Alligator mississippiensis: one gene and its partner. The protein of the gene in region 2 interacts with the protein of the main gene of each other region in a pairwise test. Links are inferred from orthologs where the notes say so. Each region holds a gene or a part of one and is shown on either strand. Other genes may lie near its edges.

What was found.
Region 1: the proteins of GRB10 (region 2) and GIGYF2 interact in a two-hybrid assay, tested with the Homo sapiens proteins (2 studies listed by BioGRID). The link is inferred for Alligator mississippiensis from reciprocal best matches to the Homo sapiens genes GRB10 and GIGYF2.

The regions. Positions count from the first base shown.
Region 1 is NC_081830.1:38,590,991-38,600,873, forward strand, and holds the start of GIGYF2 (GRB10-interacting GYF protein 2), read left to right. Parts: upstream 1-5,990; 5' UTR 5,991-6,086; exon of another isoform or gene 6,087-6,090; intron 6,091-9,883. UniProt on the Homo sapiens protein: Key component of the 4EHP-GYF2 complex, a multiprotein complex that acts as a repressor of translation initiation. In the 4EHP-GYF2 complex, acts as a factor that bridges EIF4E2 to ZFP36/TTP, linking translation repression with mRNA decay.
Region 2 is NC_081828.1:91,955,697-91,965,388, reverse strand, and holds the start of GRB10 (growth factor receptor-bound protein 10), read right to left. Parts: upstream 4,042-9,692; 5' UTR 3,886-4,041; intron 1,311-3,885; 5' UTR 1,253-1,310; intron 1-1,252.

The DNA.
Region 1 (9,883 bases), on a different chromosome or scaffold from region 2:
GCTTTGTGGGAGCTCTGTGAAGAGGGATGTGTATAAAATGAATTGTAAGTCTAATACTTTCTGCTGCCCAACAGCATATACTGAGGCTTCTAGCTTTTAGTATATGAAATACCCTAATAACTCTGTAGTAAGAAGCTGGACTTCCTCATAGATCTGGTAACCCTAGCCTTTGGCAGGAGGAAAATGGCAACACCTTAAGTAATAGAAAGTTGAGGGTCTGTTTTTTGTTTTGTTTTTTGACCATACATCTTCTGTCACATTCATTCTGTACTCATCTACTCCATGGCCTCACTAGAGGTCTTCCAGCTCTGGAACTCTTAAGAAGTAAGGAGATATATTTGTCTCTAAGAAATTGTCATCTCAGCAATACAGCTGGATGGTGCCACTAGTCCTTCACTTCTAGAAATCTGCTTCAGTTCTGAAGTCATAAACAAATTCATATAGTCACTACTATATAAAACCACTCTGGCACACTATAAACAATTTCTGCTCAGGAAGGGAATAACTGATAAGTTTCAAGTCAAGACAGAAGTGTATTGGACAGAGTTGAGTCTAGAAAACTCGCATTATTCTTGACTCTAGCTGGTGGTGTATTTCATAAGTACAGGAAAGGCATCCATAAATTTAAGAACACCATGAGTTTTTTTTATATATACTGAAGGCCATCAAGAAAGGGAAAGTTCTTCCTCTCAGCTCTTGCCCCAGTCTGTCTTCCTTCCAGAACAGCGCATACCAGATTGCTGCTCTGTATCTTCACCTGCCTATTTTGCTTCTTAAACTGTGAGCAGCACTAAACTGTGAGCATGGAATAATAAATAGAAAAATGTCTGATCTTTAATGTCAGGTGGGAGAACTGCTAAACAATTAAACTGTGTATATATCTCCACATATTATATTTTATAAATCACGCTTTTTTAGCTAAATATTTATAATGTTTTTATACTTTAAAACAAAACAGATAACTGCATCTTTGATTATTTCTGCTGTTGCTAAAATGTATAAATAAAGCCTTCTTTATCCACAGTCTTGTCAGTGCCTCTTCTTAGGTCCTCAGACATACCATTGTATTCAAGAATTGCCAGCACTGATCCTGTAAGTCTCAAATGTCTGCACACTGCACAACTCCAGTTATGAGAAGCAGATAAATCTACCTCAAACTTATAATGTTTCCACTACAGCATAACTTCCTAGCTATGCAAAAGCTAAAGTTTTTCATCCAGAAAGGCCTGGTGTTGTATAAAGGTATTAAATACTGCCCATTTAAGAGGGATAAAAAGTTCAATTTCCCCTCTACCATGGTGTCCTATTCCTTGAGGATTCTATATTGGTAAAGGAACTGAGGGGTGGTTGGGCCCATAGCCTTTATGCCCTCAGATGGAAGGACAGAAGCATAAGATCCTGGTGGCAAAAAAAAAAAAAGGGCAGGGAGGAAGCAAACAGCCACTCATGTATGGAGTGCATGTGCACCAACCAGTGAAGTCCAAGTGGATATAATGAAGCTGAACCTAGATATGAGGTATGTGATCTGATTTTGTTCTCTGAGACTGTCAGGTACAGCAGGTAAGCTGGCTTTGGTGGCTGCATTGATGGTTCACCAGATCCAAATACCACAACTGCCTGGACCATGCAGTGTGACCCTCTTAGTCATTAACCCTGTCTCTTGCCTTGGTTTCCTCAAAAGTCTTGGTATTATAGAGGTTGAAAGTAAGATGTAGATTGCTCTGTGGCCAGGGGATGAAAAGCATCTGACAGGGAGCCAGGACTGGAACCTTCTCTGGAATAAAATACTTGGCATTTCTTACTCTGGTCTGTGGAAAATGTTTATCGATGGATGCAACTCTGCTTGTAAGAGAGACTGCAGTACTGGGTTTTTGACTGACCATGTGTGGCTGTCTGAGAACTGTCATATTAAACAATCTGTTAATAAGTTTTAAAAGCATGGCAAATGTAGGGCCAGAGATGTATTTGTCACTGTATTGCACCAAATACACTGGACTTTAGACAAAATTAAATTACTTGGTTCCACTGCTGACATGACACACACCTGTGGTAGTATCTGCCAGAAGCTGAAGTTTTAAATCTTTGTATAGAAGCAGAAATACTTTGTATGTCAGGCACATGGCTCTGCATCATGGGATATTTTTAAGAAGCTCATCTACACATGAGGGATTTGGTTCCCTAATCTGAGGTTGATACAGATGTGCCATTCAGGATTGCTAGCCCAAGAAACTTGGGCTTTTTGTCTCTCTGTTGTTTTATTGACAACCAAACTTTCTTTTACTGACACTTTTTTTTTTTAATACTGGTATGTTTTTATGTAATGTAAATGTAATTATTGAGCTGAGCCCTGCCCTGTTGCCATGCACCAGTTAGAAAGACTGGGTTCATATTTAGGGGGTTTAACACCAAACATAGTAAAAATAAATGAATAAATAAATAATTGTCAATAAAAAGTTTCAGGAAAAATGTTTTAATATGTATAAAATATATATACTTATACATGTATAAAACACTTTTATATATAAATATCCTTGGGTTGGCACCACTGCTCAACCACAGCAATGGTTTTGCACCATGGTGCTTCCAAGCCAGGGGTTGTCTGCTTGCTCTCATACCTCACTGTTCCCCACTGCACTCTACGCTGTGCTTCTCCCCCCAACCTTACCCCATCCCAACACGGGTGCCCATCTACAACCCACAGTACTGCAGGATCGGACACAGTAGCAGCAACAACAGCATGTGGCTAGTGGGGCAGGGGTCTGCAAAGCCCCAAGAAGAGTGCTGTACTCCTGCTTGGACACCAGCTGGCAGCGCTCTGTTCTGCTCTGTTAGAAAACAGCCAGAGCTTGATTGAAAGACTATCAAGCAGACTGACAGCTTTGTGTTTTTATGGACTTGTGGGGAGCCCTGTGGGCTGGACGTTGAGCACCACTGGTCTGGGTCTTTACCCAGGAAGCTGGTTTTACGTGGTCTCAAGAACTTGGAGGAACTTCCAAAGAATGATTTCCTTTCTGCCATCTTGGCAATTAACTCAGTGACTGAAAATAAACCCTTCTGTGTTTCTGGCCTGCTGGGAACATTATGTGCTATCAATCACAGGTGAACAAGTACTTTTTACTATAATCAAAACAAAGGCTGGTGAGATATATTTACTGCTGCATCTTAAACACTGATATTTTATGATACTTATTTTCCTTTTCAAAGGCTATGTAGTTCCTAGCTCCACACATATTGTAAAGTAAGATATATCTTGCTTCTATCAAGCTAGGACACAGTGAAAAGGGCTGGTCAATAAAGGTGCTTTTAGTTAATTAAAGGTCCTTTACCTCACTCTCCCAGTTTTGCAATCAAATTGATTTAGTGTTCCAAAGGATTTCTACCCACATAATGACCTACAGTAACCAGTAGTCGTCTTTATAGTTACACCATGGATGAGTTTAGCCACATAGGCAGAAGGCAGGGTAGATTTGCACCTTAGACTAAATAAATTATAGATGCAGAAGCTTTTGTAAGCAGTGGCTTACTCCATCAGATACTATAAAGGGACTGCAGGAAGTGAAGCTTCAAATAGAAAGCAGTGATTAGAATACAAAGGTCAGGAACCAGGAGGAAAAAAGGAGGGGGCACTGCTGGCAGATGCAAGGTGAATAGAAGAGAGGAAAACAAAGTGGTTAAACCATTGAGGGACATAGGTGTTCTAAAAGCTGAACAAGATAATGGGATAAGAATCCATAGTCTTGATTTGAACCATATTTAACACAACCTGCTCTGTAGATGATTTCTGCAATTTCCAGTTAAAGCTAGTTTTTAAAGTTGTGGTGTCTAAGAACAGTTGCTCTGAGGTCAGCAATGGATTAAACAGTCATGTTTTGTGTCTGTCATTGTTTGTGGTTGACCATAATGGAAACCTTGGAACAAATCTACCAAGATACAAAGGTGCTGTTTGAATTTTCTTATAATATTATGAAAAGATACTTCTGCAGAGAAAATAAGTTTAAAACATCCCTTGAAAATGTATTTGGGCTTCTCTAACCAAAAAAAAAAAGGGTCCAACTTTAAATTTCTCCCAGATGAGTCACAGGCCACTTCTGAACCCTCAGAATAAAATACCGTGAGTTATTTACATCATCTAACTGATCTGTCAAGAAAATGCATTGGGACAATGTTCTCTAGTAAACTTGCAAGTTCCTGTTCTGAAATGTGGGGTGCCTCCCTCCCTCCATGATCTCTTTTTCATGCTGCTCTAACCACTATCAAGAAGCTAGGAAAACTGAAATCCAAGTAGTCACAGGCCAGAAATTTACAGCTTTGCTACAGCTAGGCTTTCTCTTGCCACACTCCGAGGGAGGAGCTTTGTTTTAAGATTCTTGTTGGAATGTGATTAGTCTTATCATTTTGCTGTGAACTCAAAACACGTTCAAGGACCAATAGCCTTTTTAGCTCATTAGCTCAGAAAATTGTGCATGTTCACTGTTGTGTCATCTAGGGCCAGCATTCAGTGTGCAGTATCAGGTATTTACCAGCTTCCAAGATCTGAAATAAAAACCAAATGTGTTTAGGCCAGAACTCTTGATTAAAGAATGTTTTTTCCAGCTGCAAATGGTAATTCCTTTGATGTTGCATAATAGCTAAAAATAGGTTTTATGACTAAAATAGCCAGCATCAAGTACTAATATGGTTTTTAAGACTATAAATAAACGACTATTTTTAGCTGGGAAAGCCCTGCCCTATACTCCTACTGACCCAAAAGCAGATAACATTTGGGATCTGCAAGAATACTTATGGGTGATATCTTTTATTAGACCAACAGTATAGTTTGTATACACCAAGGCAAGCTATCGGGTGTGTCAGTACCCTTTCTCAGGCCTCTGAGCCAGAAGCAGACATAGCTGAGCTAAAAAGCAGATGGAACAAAAAGTAGGCTTATTGTTACTTATGAACTGCGGGGGTTAGGGCAGTGAGACAGGGGTTAGGGCAACCGAGTGTCTTGAGATCCTTTCAAGGGTACTATGGGGTGCAACATGATGTTAGTACTGTTATCTGTGCAAACATGGCTCACAGATAGGAATCTATAGCATTAAGGACATTCTCATCCAATGTGGTCTTTCTGGGTGCTTTGCAACAGAAAAACTGCTCTATTATTTTTCTGTAGTAAAAAATGAGGGAAAATTTAAGTGTTCACATTTTTTGAGGGAGGCTTTGAATCAAATGAAGGGTGCCTTAAGTGCAGAAAGGTTGAGAGTTGGGGAGTATCAGTGTTAGGCCCCTTACATCAGGACAGTTATGATGGACCACAGAGTCATTGGGATCTGGTTACAGACCATCAATTTGTTGTGCTTTAAACCCTGTACACCAAGGCCTTCCAGTCCCAGCCTGTCTTCACGACCCTCAGTGCCCTGACAGCACCAGCAGGCCTGGCGGTGGGTGGCCACGGGACTGTTGCTCTCTTGTACACGGCAGGTGAGGCCGGCCCACGTTTTAACGCAGCGCGGTCCTGTCGGAGCCAGGTCGTAGCTGTGACAGCCCAGGAGCCATGACAGCCCAGGCGAGGCGTTTTTGGGGGCGATCTCTTTCACGGACCAGCTGGGCAGTTCAGATGCAGTTAGCGCGTTTCCGAAGGACGCTGCTTATCGGAGACTCGCGGGCTCCGTCCCAGCCATGAAGCTGGCCCCGTAAGAGCAAGGCGTAATTAATGCCCAGCTCTACCATAGCCGGTCGGCTCTCCAGCCACCTGGAGGGCTGGTTTTGATGGGGTGACTTGGCACGTGGCCGGTGTGTGAGGCGATTCCCCAGATTGCTGCGCCGTACAGGTGCCGCGGGTCTGCAGCGGGGTCAGGCGCGTTGCTGCCCGCACAAGCGGCCGGGCGGCCGTGTGGGTCCCCGCACAGCAGCACCAGCGCGTGACGTCAGCAGCGTCGGGTCGTTCCCCACGAGGCGGGGGGTACTAGGGCGCATGCGCGCGTCCATCCGGGCCCGCGGGGGGCGGGGCTCCCGGTCACGTGACTCTGCGTGGCGGCGCGACCGCCATCTTGTGTTGTTGGGACTGAGGCTTCGCTTCGGCTCCGTGGGACTCTCCGTTCGGGACCGTAGGTAGTGCCGCCGCCCCGCCCGCCCGCTTCTGCCTCTCTCCCCCTAGGCGGCCCCCACCCACTCCTGCCCCACTCCGCTCCGTTACGGGGCTGCGCTGGGGCTGCAGGCCTAGGCCGCGCGCCGACCCCGGCCTCGCCTGCGGCTGCTGCCTGGCGCGGGGCGGGGGACGCCTCCGCGGGGCGACGAGCCCGGACGCTGCTGCGCCCGCTGCTCCCCGGGCCGCCCCGGCCTGCTCGTCCCGCTGACGCGTTGCGGTCTGCCAGTGCCGCACGGAGGCCGCGACAGGGCTGGGCCTGGGCCTTCCCTCCGCGCGGCAGGACGGGCCTAGCCGTCCCTCGGGGCCCGCGTGGTGGCCGCTGGTCCGAGGCAGGTCTCAGCCCCGCGTCCTCCCGGGCCCGTGCTCCTGTGCGCCTCTGGCAGCCGTCCGTGCTCCTACTCTGGGGCTGCGTTTTGGGAGCCTGAAGTGCCTTTCACTTGGGTATTTTTTTTGTGCCTCTTCCTAACTTTTTATTTCCTGCCGTTTGCCTTTCATGCCTCAGGAGCAACCCCATGCAGAGCCTCTGTGGGTTGAATCCTGGACTCCCAGAGCAGTGGGGCTGGAAGGGACCTGCAGGGTCACATCAGGCGGGTCCCCCTGCATAAGGCAGGGTGCATCTCTGTCCAAACCATCCCAGTAACCTGTGATTTAAACGCTACCTAAGGCTTCCTTCCTTCCTCCCTGATTCTGCTGATTTGGTTCTTAAGGTTATTTTTTTTAATTGTTGAGGCTTGCTGGAAGTGTGATAGCCCTTCTCCACAAATGTTAACATAGCTGAGGAAAGAAAGCTTGGTCTCTAATACTTTTAAACTCTCCTGGTAATGCAGCCATCTCTGCTGCTAGAAGCAGTGAAAGATGAGGCATCTGTTTTTTGTACTTAATTATCGAGCCCTCTTTTAGCCACTTTAGTTGATGATAGAGTTTAAAACAGCAACAACAACTACAGCCCATTAGCACTAGCAGCAATAACCAGAAGCATTGTTATAGGGGGAGAATTTCTTAAAAATAATTGTGTAAGTGTTGGCTCATTGTAGGGAGTTGCAGTCGGAGCATGTGCCACAGCATGGACTTCTCACTGAATACATGAGTAAAATGCAGACAAGGTTCCTTGGGTGAATTTGATATCTTTTATTAGACCAACCCAAATAGTTGGAGAATATTTATTAAGCAGCTTTCAAAAACCCTTCGTCAGGCTAAGGGAGTAAAATGCAAGCATTTGCAGCCTGGTAAACTGTTTTACATGGCAAACGGGTGTTATCCATGTAAATGGCACATGTTGCTGTAAATGACATTTTACGTATTACTCATACTCTTGTCTCCACTGATGTCTGGAGACCTCTTTCAACTGCCTCAGAAAATTGCATTAAATCTGACTCTGTTAATAACTTCAGGAGTTGGGCAGAGCCCTATGCTGTCTGGGAAGATGGACATGCACAGAGATAATTTCTCTCCACATTTGTTGCATAGGTTTTTCTGAACATCTTAGTCTAGTTTTTCTTTTTTAAGCAAAATATAGAATTAAAAATCTGTCAAAGCTCCCTGCTGCTGCAGGGAAAAGCACCAGTTGCGGACCCTCCATGCCACTGCATGGAGCAGTGGCTGTGGTGCATGCTTTCCCTGTGCACTTGCTGCCAGAAATCATGGTAGCAGTGACTTGGCCCTAGCGCCTGCCCTCCACATGTCCATCTTTGACCCAAACTGGGTTAGTATGACTGATGAAGTTCCGCATTGGTGGGCTGCATCAAATGGTTCTGCAGGTTGCATGCAGGCTGCGGGCTATAGGTTGCTAGCCCCTACTATAGATTATCTAAAGCATCTAATAAAATGAGCTGAGGCTCACAAAAGTATATGCACCTCTGACTTAAGTCTATGAGCTTCGTCTCTGCTCTGCCTTCTGCTTCAATATTTATCTTGCGGTCTTTGTTTACTGCTCATTACTTTGGGAATAAGGCATCTTCAAAGGATTGTAACACATGTATGAAACTATTTCTTTTAATGCCTTGAAGATTCTTGCTTCATGAAATGCACTGACTTGCAGGGTGCCTAAAAATAGGTGTTCTGCAGGAGTTTTTCATCTAAAAAATATCCAATAAATATAAAACCTTAGAAGTCAACCTTTTCTGTGAAAAGCTTGTATTGGTCATAGTTAAATATAAAGCTGTTGTAACTGAAAAGTTGGTGAAGAGTGACTCCACGTCTTGTGCACACCAACCTGCATCCAGTTTTGCTTTGTATATAGTTTGTGTGTGCGCACACGCGTGTGTGCGTGTGCATGCACACAATTTTCCTTGTATAATTAGTTCACTTTGAGCACGGTGAAAAGTCTCATGTGCACCAAGACAGGAATATCCCTGTGAGTATGCATGTCAAAGGAATGTAAAGCAAGCAGGAAGTTCTTGAGAGAACTGTTATTTGAAAAGGGTGTCAGCAGGAACTCAGGATTTCTTAAAGCTAAAATTGGAAGAAGAAAAATAAAGTTGATGGTGCCGTTTAGAGTTATAAATTCTTCTGAAACAGTCTTATTAAATTATGCGTCCTGACTGATCTGTACAATTGAGATGTGACTGGTAATGCACCTGCATATTGTGGCTCACATTGATCTGTGTTAATGTTTAGGATAGATTGTCTGATAGTTGACAGATCTGCCAAAGGTACTTTGAAGTGTTTTAAAACACTCTCAAGGGAAAAGCAGTTTGACACCTTTAGATTAATGTGCCCTAAAAAGGAGAATTGAGGGTGGGAGTGGGGACTGGTGTTTTCGTGCAGCTTCGTTGTATTTAGATTGCGAACTCTTTAGAGTTTCTGTTTGGTTTTTAAAATTCGAAATATCAAAACGTAAATTTTGTCTTCCTTGCTCTTGTGTGAGGTCTTCTTGAAAGTCTAGTTAATAGGCAATAGTATTTTTTTCAGTCGATAATCAAAATACCTTTTTTTTAAAAAGGTATTACAGACTGTCCCATTGAGAATTTGAATGAAAGAGATTGAAGCGCTCTTGTTATTTTTTAAACAGTCTATCCATTTCCCTCTGAATTATTCAGACGTACCTTCTTTGGTGTTTATGGTATCCCCTGTTCATGTTCTGTGACTTGCAGATAAATCAGATTTTAATTTTTAAATGTAAACAGTTGGGGTTAGGGATGACAGCATAAACAAACAAAACCCTTCCTGGTTCCTTTTTTAGACCAGAAAGAAACAAGAGAATGAACTGACTTCTTAACTTTATTTTCCTTCCTACCTGTGCAGGTTTCCTGCAAGATCTTTGGAATGTTTTGGTAACAGGAAGCTCATCCCTTATTGTGAGACATATCCATTTCTCACAATAAAGAGGCTTTATTAATGCATTGGCATGTCTTATTTTAATTCGTCAAGTGATATTTGAAAACAAAGCATTTGATATCTTCTTTTGGCATCTGTGTCCTCTTTCATGGGAATGAACTACATTATCCAAAGGTTTGCTTTCTTCCCCATCTCTTGAAGTCAGGTTTTGAGATCTGTATTCAGCCTGGCAAAAGTGGTTTGGCTTGAAAACTTTTCACTTGCAACAAATTTTGCTCAGGCTGTACTTTAAAGAAATTAGGTTGTATCAAAGAAGAATTATTAATGTTAAATAATGTTTTTTATGGTGTATGTGAACAGCTTGTCATCTTGTGATTTGTTGTAGCATATAAAACATAAAATTCTACTGCACTTTATTATTATAGCAGACTTCTTTAGTTCAAATGATAACAGCAAATTGTGAAGATTTAGGATTAGAAT
Region 2 (9,692 bases):
AGAAGGCAGCCATGAGCTGAAGCTGGAGCCCCATGTGGTGGGGCAGGAGCCATCTGGCTGAAACTGCTTGCCCAGAGTGGCGTTGCACAGTACATCACTAAGTAGCACAGCAGGGGCAAGATCAAATCCAGAAGCCACCACTGGAGGCAGAGAGTGCAGAACAGTACTCAGCTACACCAAAAACAGCCCCTCCAGAAGCTCCACGCAGGTTGGGACCTGGCCCAATGGGAGCCCAGTGCAGTGTGCCCTAACGCAACTGGGCAGAGCATGGCCCCATGCAGGGTGACTGGATGCCGTGGGCTGGATCCAGTCACCTGGCAGGCCGGATCTGGCATTCAGGCCATATTTGGCCACCCCTGGGCTAAGGGACCAGATTTAGATTGTGACCAGCTACTTGAATTGAACCAGGAATAGTCTGTCTCAGTGAACAACTGAGCTTTTGGATTTTCACAGACTTGTTGATGAGCATGTTAAAGTCTCTCAGGATGAAACTTTAACTACAACACTGATGGCACTAACCTGTAAAGGAGCATGCAATCTGTTAGACCCGAATCATTTCTGCTCTCATATGAATTAAGCTTGAATTTTCGTGCTCAAGGCACCTCCCTTGCATTGACTGTTTGATGAAAAGATGAAGGCACCGCTGTCTGGCTTCTTATCCTACCTTGTCCTGCAATGAAGTAGTTATCCTGGAGGAACAAGTTGAGCTAGTAGAGAGTTCCCAGTTTCATCCAACAAGGTCTGACAATGCAGACTATGTTAGATGCTTCAGCACTGGTGTGGTCAAAGATTGTCTGCTGGCTGGCCTTGCCTTGTCCCACAAGGATAAGTCATGTCACTTTGTGCGGCCTGCTTCTAGTCGGCATGTAGGCAATAGAATCCAATTTCCTTTGTATACTTTACATTTCCTTAGCAACATTACCTTTACATTTCCTTTCCTCCTGATTTGAACTCTGAGTTAATTGTGTGAGTGAAGGAACAGATGTCCAAATCTACAGAGGCCAGGAGAAAGGCAGATAAATTGGATCTGGTTTGGAGTATGTCGAGGTCTGGGAGCAGGTAGATTTGCAAGCCTAGTGGGATAGAAGCAATGGAAACAGAACAAACACTGAACAACCACCAGCAACAACAACAGGTAGAATGAAGCACGGGCCAATGGCATCAGGCATCCATTTACCTGAAATAATGTTGCCATGACACCCATGTTGCTCTTATCTGGCTCTGGAGAAAGAGAAAGGAAAGCAGCACTTACTTGTCACATCTGAGTTAGAGCCGGAAAGTAGCTTCTGAGCCAGCAACTAGTGGCAAGGCTGAAAGAAAAGAACTGAGACTGATACCTCTGTTATAGGTTTCTTTGGTTGCTTCATTCCTAGAAAGGATGAAACTGATCCAAAAGGGGAGGAGTCACAGCCCCACCCTCACCTGTCACAAAACCTCATTAATGATGTGCAGAGGTGAAAGTGACTAGGAGCTGCTCTCAGACCAATTCCTGGGATGATGCCCACAGGTATAACCAGATATGGGGCATGGGCCTTCAGTTAGCATACATAGAAAAGAAGCTCTTTAGAGAAGACCTTATAATTGAAAGCCATGCATCCTTAGTAATAAACTAAATCAGATAGTCAAAATGGAGGTGCGAAAAGTTCACTACTGCAACACGACCACATCCCATGAGACTACATTCAAACAGTTTTTGTAAGATTTGCTCAGCACGCTTTCAAGCAAACACTTTTAAAGTGAAGAAATCTAGCCTTACTACAGAAGTTTCTCCCCCTAGAGCTCTTACTCTGTCGCACACGTTTTACGTAGGGAACCCAAACAACTAAATTAATCCAGGGTGCTAAAAGGAATGTTCATGTAATGCCTTAAAAACATGTGTGTCATTCTCTTATGGCTGACAATGAGTTTTCTTATTGTACCTCTTTGCTTGGTTCTCAAAGCCAGACTGTGGTATTTAGACATAAGCCAGTGGGGTACACACCAGCTGGCACCAGCCTCCAGTAGGACACTGCTAACTGGGTTTCATCAGAAACACAGGCTAGCACAGTCATATGCCCCCAACCCTCTCACCCCATCCTACAACAGCTCCTGGAAGAAATGGTATTTGACAGTTATACAACTTCTCTGCCACCCGGGACTCCCCAGGCTGGAGGGATCCCATAGCTAGTTGGATCCAGCTACTTTTAGACACTGGGCTGCAATACAGGAAGAAACCCAGTGTCTATAAGAAACTACAATGACATCAGCCAGGTTCTGTGAGCAGAACCAAAAACAGATGCGCTTTGCAATTAGGGAAAGCTTTCTGGACTAGAAGACAAAACACCATTGAAAGAGTGTCACAACTGGATTAGAGGATGAAAGCCAGATACATGGAGCAAGACAGGAGAGAATATTTGGATTATCAAAACCAAGGAAAACCACAGAAGTACCATAAGATCTAACACCCAGCCAGAGCAAACAGAAGCTACCTCTAAGAGCAAATAAGAGTGCAAATGAAGTACAGTACAAAAAAAAGTGTGTGTATGGGAGGGAAAATCACTGAAGGCAGGTGTACAAGTCTGCCTTTCTATCAATTCATAGTTCAGAACAGACACCACCAAGTGTTGCTTTCCAAGCTTTGTTTACCCTACACTGTGCAGCATTTTAAAAAGACAAATCGATATTTTTAGGGTTTTTTTTTAGCAAAGCAAGCTTCAGAATCAAAAGTTCGATGTATTGGTTAGAATAGAAATGCACACCTTGAGACCAAAGGATGAGAAAGAGAAAAATACGCTTCTTAAATAGCTGCATCTCTTCTCATCAGACCTTCTAGGTAAGGAGCACCGTAACTGCAGAACATGCTTAATATCTTTTCTCTTGCCTTTGCAGAGGAGGAGCCAACAGGAGTATCATTTCCACCATTCAGCCTTTGGCATTTGAGGCACACCAGTCAGGTTTTCTAAGCACCGTACACTTTTTTTTTTAAACCCGTCCTCATAACTCACTCCTTTTAATCCTGGGATTAGCCCTGCTGCCCTTCTCTGTACCTTTTCCAGTGCCGTAAATAAGGCAGGTCCATGCATGGAAGAAGAAATTAAGTTAGAGCTTTCGTGGTGGACCAAGGCAGCTTTTTGTAGCCGGAGCAGTTAAATAAAACAGCAACAAAGAATTAAAACATCCACCCCTGTAGGAAGCAGCAACCTTTCCAACCCATCATCCGAATGCAACTGAAGGAAAGAGGGAGAGACGTACCCAAACTTTGCCTTCCGTCCCACCCCTCTCCTTCAAGGAGACAAAACGGGCAGCGAGAAGCCCGCTTAGAGCTGCTCAGTAAGCCTGGACCCATGCTGCTCTGACATGCCAGCGCCATATGCTCCCGGTTCAACAAATCCAAACATTTCTTCCCTTTCCCCCCCTCTTCACGCACAGAGAGCACCGCTTCAGAGCCGCCTGCTGAATCAGCACTTGCCACCCCGCTTTAAATACAGACTTCTGCCCAGCTTCAAAAGAAAAGCGTTGGGAGGCTGGGATGGGTCGGATCCTGCCTCGGGCAGCCTAACTTCGCCGGGTCCCTTCAGCCCCGCTTCTCCAAGGCTCGGGGGGGAGGGGGAGAAAAAAGAAAAGAGGGGGGCGGCAAGGTTAGACAGACGAGCCCTCCCCGCCCGAGCCCGGGGCTGCAGCCCGTTCTCGATGGCAAGCCAGGGAGAGGCCGGGACAGCAGCGCCGAGGGGCAGCCCCAGCGGAGGCGGCTGCGAGCCGCTGTGCCCCCGCGGCGGGGACTGGAGAAGCGGCGGGGCGGGGGCGGGGGCTGGGGCGGCCGCGTCCCGGCGCAGGGGCTGGGGGCCCGCCAAGTTTGCAGCGGGGACGAGGAAGTTGGCGCACCCCGCGGCCACGGCTCAGCCTTACCTGCGCGCCCGGCCCGCCTGGCCGCTCCCCCGCTGCCGCCGCGGCGGGAAGTTGGAGCCCGGGCGGGCGCGGAGCAGCACGAAGGAAACTTGTGCGGCCGCTGCGCACACGAGGCGACGCCGCCGAGCCTGGCCTCTCCCCGCCTCAGCTGACTCCCCGGCTTAGGGTGCATCCCTGCCTCCTCCCACCGCCCGCCCCGGCGCCGCACGCAGCCGCAGCCGCGCCGCCCACGCCCGGCCTCCGCGGGCCGCCTCCGCCCGGGGCTGCCCCTCGCCCGCGGGCCTGTCTGCACCGGACCCCGGCCCGGGGCCGCCGCCAGGAACCATAAAGCCTCCCCGGGCAAGGCGGCGCCTGGGAAACTCCCGGCTCCTTTTCTTGGGACCCGGTCAAAGGCGGGGGAGATCACAGGGTCAGAGTGAGGGAGCCGAGGGGGGACCCCGAGCGCGGCAGCATGGACAGCGCCCCCGGCCGCCAAGGAGCCAGCGGCCCTGCCCAGGGAAATTGCCGAGAAGTGAGCTGGCACCTTTGGGGTTGGGCAGACACATTGGGGGGTGAGCAGGCACGTTACAGGTTGAGGAGACATAGGGGGTGGGCAGACACATTTAGGACTGCGCAGACAAAGGGATGGGCAGACACATTTATGGGGTGAGCAGACACATTTAGGGTTCAGCAGACGGGGTTAGCAGGCACATTTACTGGTGGGCAGACATGGGGTGAGCTGGCACATTACAGGTGGAGCAGACAGAAGTGAGCAGGCACATTTAGGGTTGAGCAGAGAAAGGGTTGGGCAGACACATTTAGGGTTCAGCAGATGTATTTGGAGTGTAAGCAGGCACATTTAGGGTTGAGCAGACACATTTAAAGGCTGAGCAGACATGAGGGTTGGGCAGACACATTTAAGGGTTGAGCAGACAGCGGTGAGTGGGCACATTTAGGGTTGCCAGCTTTCCAGGACTGCCTTGGAGCCTTCAGGAATGAGATGTAAATCTCCAGGAGACTGCTGAGAGTCACCGGGGACATAACTGATAGGATATTAGTTAAAATAATTATTAAAGGTTGAATCCAATTTATGCTGTAGGGTGGTGGGTTTTTAAAATGTAATAGGAACATGCACATGTCTTCCTGCCATAAAGTCTACATGCCCATAACCATAACCCAGAACTGATATATGCTAGCATGTGGGCATGTTGGCATTGTGTGTCGTGGGCACACTGGAGTTCTGGAAACCTCCCAGAATAGATTCAAACAGAGTCAGCAGCCCTGGCAGACAAGGGACAGGAAAGCAGTCCCTGAGAGTATCCCTCAGCCTGTAATGCAGGCCAATACCCACAAGGGAACGCTATAAGCCCCCCTTAAAAAAGGGAGGCCGCTAGGTAGAAAATAACTGATTTCTGGGAACAATTAAAGACAATAGGGCTGGGAGTGAGGTCAGAGGTTTAAAACAAGTGCCCAAAGGGGGCACATGAAGCATAGCACACCGGACAACACCCACTGGCTCTCAGATAAGTCCAAGGAGCTAGCAGACACTGCCCAGTGGTACTCTGCCCAGAGAAAGGATCACACCAGGGACAGGACTTTAACACATCAGGGGATTTCATGGCCCACCAAGGATACTATAAGCTCTCTTTTAGTACTGGGGGCCACTAGTGATGTGTGACTGGTTACTTGGGACAAATCATAATGAAAACAGGGACAGGAGTGGAGGTCAAAGGTTCATAACAAGAGTGCCAAGGGGAGACACCAAGCAAAGCACACTGGACAGCACTCACAGGCCCTCAAATGAGTCCAAGGTGCCAGTGGACACTGCTCAGTGATACTCTGCCTGGAGACAGGATCACATTGGGGATAAGAAAGCAGTCCCACAGTCCTCAGGGTCCTCTTGCCCAGAGCCTCCTTCCTGGTGCAGGCAGAACCCCAGCAGGAGGTTCTGAAGGAGGCCGTGAAGGGGCTTCAGCCTGGTGCACTCCAGGTAGGTGTGCTCCACGGTTTCCCTCTGCTCCACGGTCTCCCTCTGCTCGCAGAAAGGGCAGGTGTCAGGAGCATCCGTAAACCATGCCAGATACATGCCTGTGGCAACAGCTCCGTGTAGGAGCCGCCAGCAGAGGCCCGGAACAGGGGAAAGGCTGGGGCTGCCCTCAAGGCTAGCACCAAGCGTGGTTGTACTGAGAAACCATTCAGGCTATGGGGTATCCAAATGCCTGGGGTTGTTCAGGAAGAAGCAAGGCAGGCTGCAGAAAAAGGGCCTTGCTACATGTTGGACTCTGAGTTACTCAAATGCTGATTGGTTAGTGCTACCTTGAGTTTGGGAGCAATCACACCTTCTAGCTAAAAGCCTCCTCTGATTATTCCCCACCTGCCCAGCTGTGACTTACTGCTGGAGGGCTGGTGAGCAGAGAGCTACAGCTGGGACTTGCTGCTGAGACTTGCAACTTGTCCTGGTGAGCTAGGACACGTTTCTAGCCATGCTCTATATGTGGGGGGATGTGGCTGGGGGGGAGGGAGAAGGAACAGTAGGCTGTTAGCATGGTTGTATCCATGGGGGAGGGCAGGTCATACTCCCCAGGAAGGCAGGAGATGTTAGCTTGGTGCCTGGGCAGTAGAGTTCAGGGGATGGAAAGTTTGTCCACACAGAACAGGAGAGTAAGGAAAGGGACACTGCATCCTGGGGTGCTAGAGGACTGCAACTTGGGCAGTTCACTTGCGGGGCATGGCCACCCATTACTAGTTCATTCAATTTGATTGACATGATGTACCCAGAAATTACACCAAGGAATCTGTACCCTTAAAAACACTCTACCCTGTTGTGGTCTTTCTGAGTTCTTCGCAATAAAAGAATGGCTGTATGTTTCCATAGTCAAAAAGCAAGTGACAGCCGAAATAGCATTTTCTGATGAGTACCTGAAATTTAACATGGGGTGCCTTGGGTCTAAAAAGGTTAAGAACCACTGCTCTAACCTTTAGCAATTGAGATGAGGTAGATAAGTGGTACTCAACCATTTTTAGACTCATGGCACCCCTTGACAGACTCAAGGTCCCCCCTTCTAGGCTCAAGACATCCATCAGAAAATGCGAGCCCTTTGTGTTCACTTGTGTTTGACTATGGAGAAATCCTAGAGAAAATGACAGTGTGTTTCCCTGGGGAGAAGTAGCAGTGGCACACCTTATGCCGCTGCTACTTGTCCCCAGGGAATGCCCATGCCAAGTGTGCTCCGGTGTGTGGCAGGTTACACTGGGTGGGGTAGGGGAGGCTGAGGCCAGCAACTGTGCCTTACCTGGGGTCCTGGGGGCCTCCAGGAGCTGCAGCCACAGTGCTCCTGCAGCAAAGAGCCTGGCCAGCAGCCAGAGCATGGCTCCAGCCAGCCAGGCTCTGGTTTCGGGTGGTGTGCACTGCCATGTGTGCCGCCCCACTTTTTTCTGACATTGGGTTTTTTGATCCGGGAACCCAAGAGTCTCCAGGGGTCAAAAAACCCTCCACGCTGCAAAGTGCAGGGAATGCCTGTATGTGCAGTGTATGGGACAGGTCTGCAGTGTCACTTACCACAAGTCCACACTCATATAGATACGGCCAAAGAGGCCACATCAGGTCAGAATGGTTTTACCACTATGGATTCCTATTTGAATTTCTGGGTTTATCTTGTGAATTGTGTGTGCACACTTAATAGTGCTAACATTGAGTGGCACCCTGCAACACCCTTGAAAGGATCTCAAGGCACCCAGGCTGTCACAGCACCCTGGTGGAGAATCACTGAGCTAGACAGTACAAAAGCAGATATTTTAGGTAGGCAGCATCTAGTTCTGACTGCTGCCAGAGACAGGATTCAGAACCAAGTGAATTCTTGGTCTGATCAAATGCAGCTGTTGGTTTCTTCCTAACAAGGGTGGGGACAGGGTCATAGCATGATATTGGAGAGACCTGGCCAATACAGCTACCACTGGATCCTGATGTTCAGACACCTATTTTTGGCCACTTGTATCCACCTAACTCAAAAGGAGCAGCCAGAACCTTTGGGCACTGGGCTTGGAGCACTACAAAAGGAATGTCCTGTCTCATCCTGTGGGCTGAATCTGCAAGAGGGACATGGCCAGCTGTCTAGTCAGCAGGGAGTTTTTATTTGGGGGGGAGGAGGGGGGCGGCAGGGAGAGGAAGTGCAAAATGCTTGCAGGATGATGCATCTTGGGTGTAGTTTGGACGAATGGCAAAAAAAGACAGGCGTTGCTTGGGAAGCTAGATGCTGGGTAATGAACGGGGATGGTGGCTAGCAATAGGGGACAGGATAGGAAGTTTCATGAGGAAACACTTCACCAGGAAAGGTGATGTTAACATGTTAGAATTGCAGAGATTTTGTACATATTCTACAATCTTTTGGCAAATTCATGTGTGCATAACAAGTAACCGCATGACCTTTTTTTATCCTAGGCTGCCTGTCATATTTTCAATTTTACTCTCACTTATTCTCAATGCTGCCATAACAACGCAGGGAACACTGCCAGTTTGGTCAGGTGTATAACACAATGTGTCTGAACAAATAATAGTAATGGAACAAATAACAGTAATGGAAACTGCAGGACAGGCTTTCTATATTGTAAAGATTATTAGATTTTCATGCACTCCCCAGGATTCCCACGTAAGCACAATACCTCTAACTTTTCCAGAACACAAGGCATCCTGCATTTCACTCCAGATATCTCTGGGGCTGAGTTGTGAGATTCAAGGAAGAATAAGCAACTCATAAATTGCTATGTACTGCATATTACCTTCCAGAGAACCCAAGGCTGTCTTTCTTCAGGAGACTTTTAAAAAAATATGTACCATTTGTTTCAATCGAATGCATTCTAAAGGTGGGCGGGAGGCATTCTCTTAGCCATACATAGAAGAACCCTCTTATAGTAGGATTGGCTCTATCTATAGAGTAGGACAAATTCCGGTGGAATCAGGGAAAGTCCCAGTGCCCTTTGTTAGAAACAACTCAACTGCTATATTCATGTTAACATTGTTCAACTCTTCACTGAACATATTCTAAAAATATAACTCATTCATTCTATATTTCTTTTATTCTTTCTCCCTTTGCTTTTCCTTTAATCCCGCTGTTCTGTACACTGTTGTCTTTGTACTTCATCCCTTCATCACCCCCGTCCTCCTTCTCCCTGGATGTTGTACTTCTCTCTCCTCCTTCTGTGTTCTCATTCCATTCTCTCTGATGAATCTTTCCTTCATGCCCTTCAAAATGTTTTTTCCAGTTTCTCACACACACATCACCTGCTCCAACATGCACAAGTCACTCTTTAGTGAATTCATTGCGCACTTTCCTCAGACAGTCAGCTTCCCAAGTGTGACCCACTCCTACTCTATGCTCAGTCGTGTCCATTTCATTCACTGTTGACCCTCCTCCCTTTTCACAATACTCACCCCGGTCAGTCATTTTTCAACTTCCCAGTTTAAATTGTCACTCATCCACACCATCAGTCAGTCCTCCTGCCTCTTCACCATTCCCAATTGACCTAGGCATTTTACAGTTCTTGAGTGATGCTGTCCTGTCAAGTGGAGGGTAACAGGGACCACTCCCATTAAGATCCCACATCTGGGTGGAAGTTGCATCTTCATGCCAGCCAAGCAGTCAGGGCCCACAGCCCTTCCCTACTTTGAAGAGTAGGGAAACTGGAGGGCCATGGCTCTTTATTGCTACTCTTCTTCATGATTGCTGAGGCTTTTTAATACTTCAGGTCTTCCCTTTGATTGGGCTAGGATCCAGCCCTTTTGACCGAAGTTGAGGGTTCTACTTGGGAGGCCTTACCTTCCACCTAGCAGA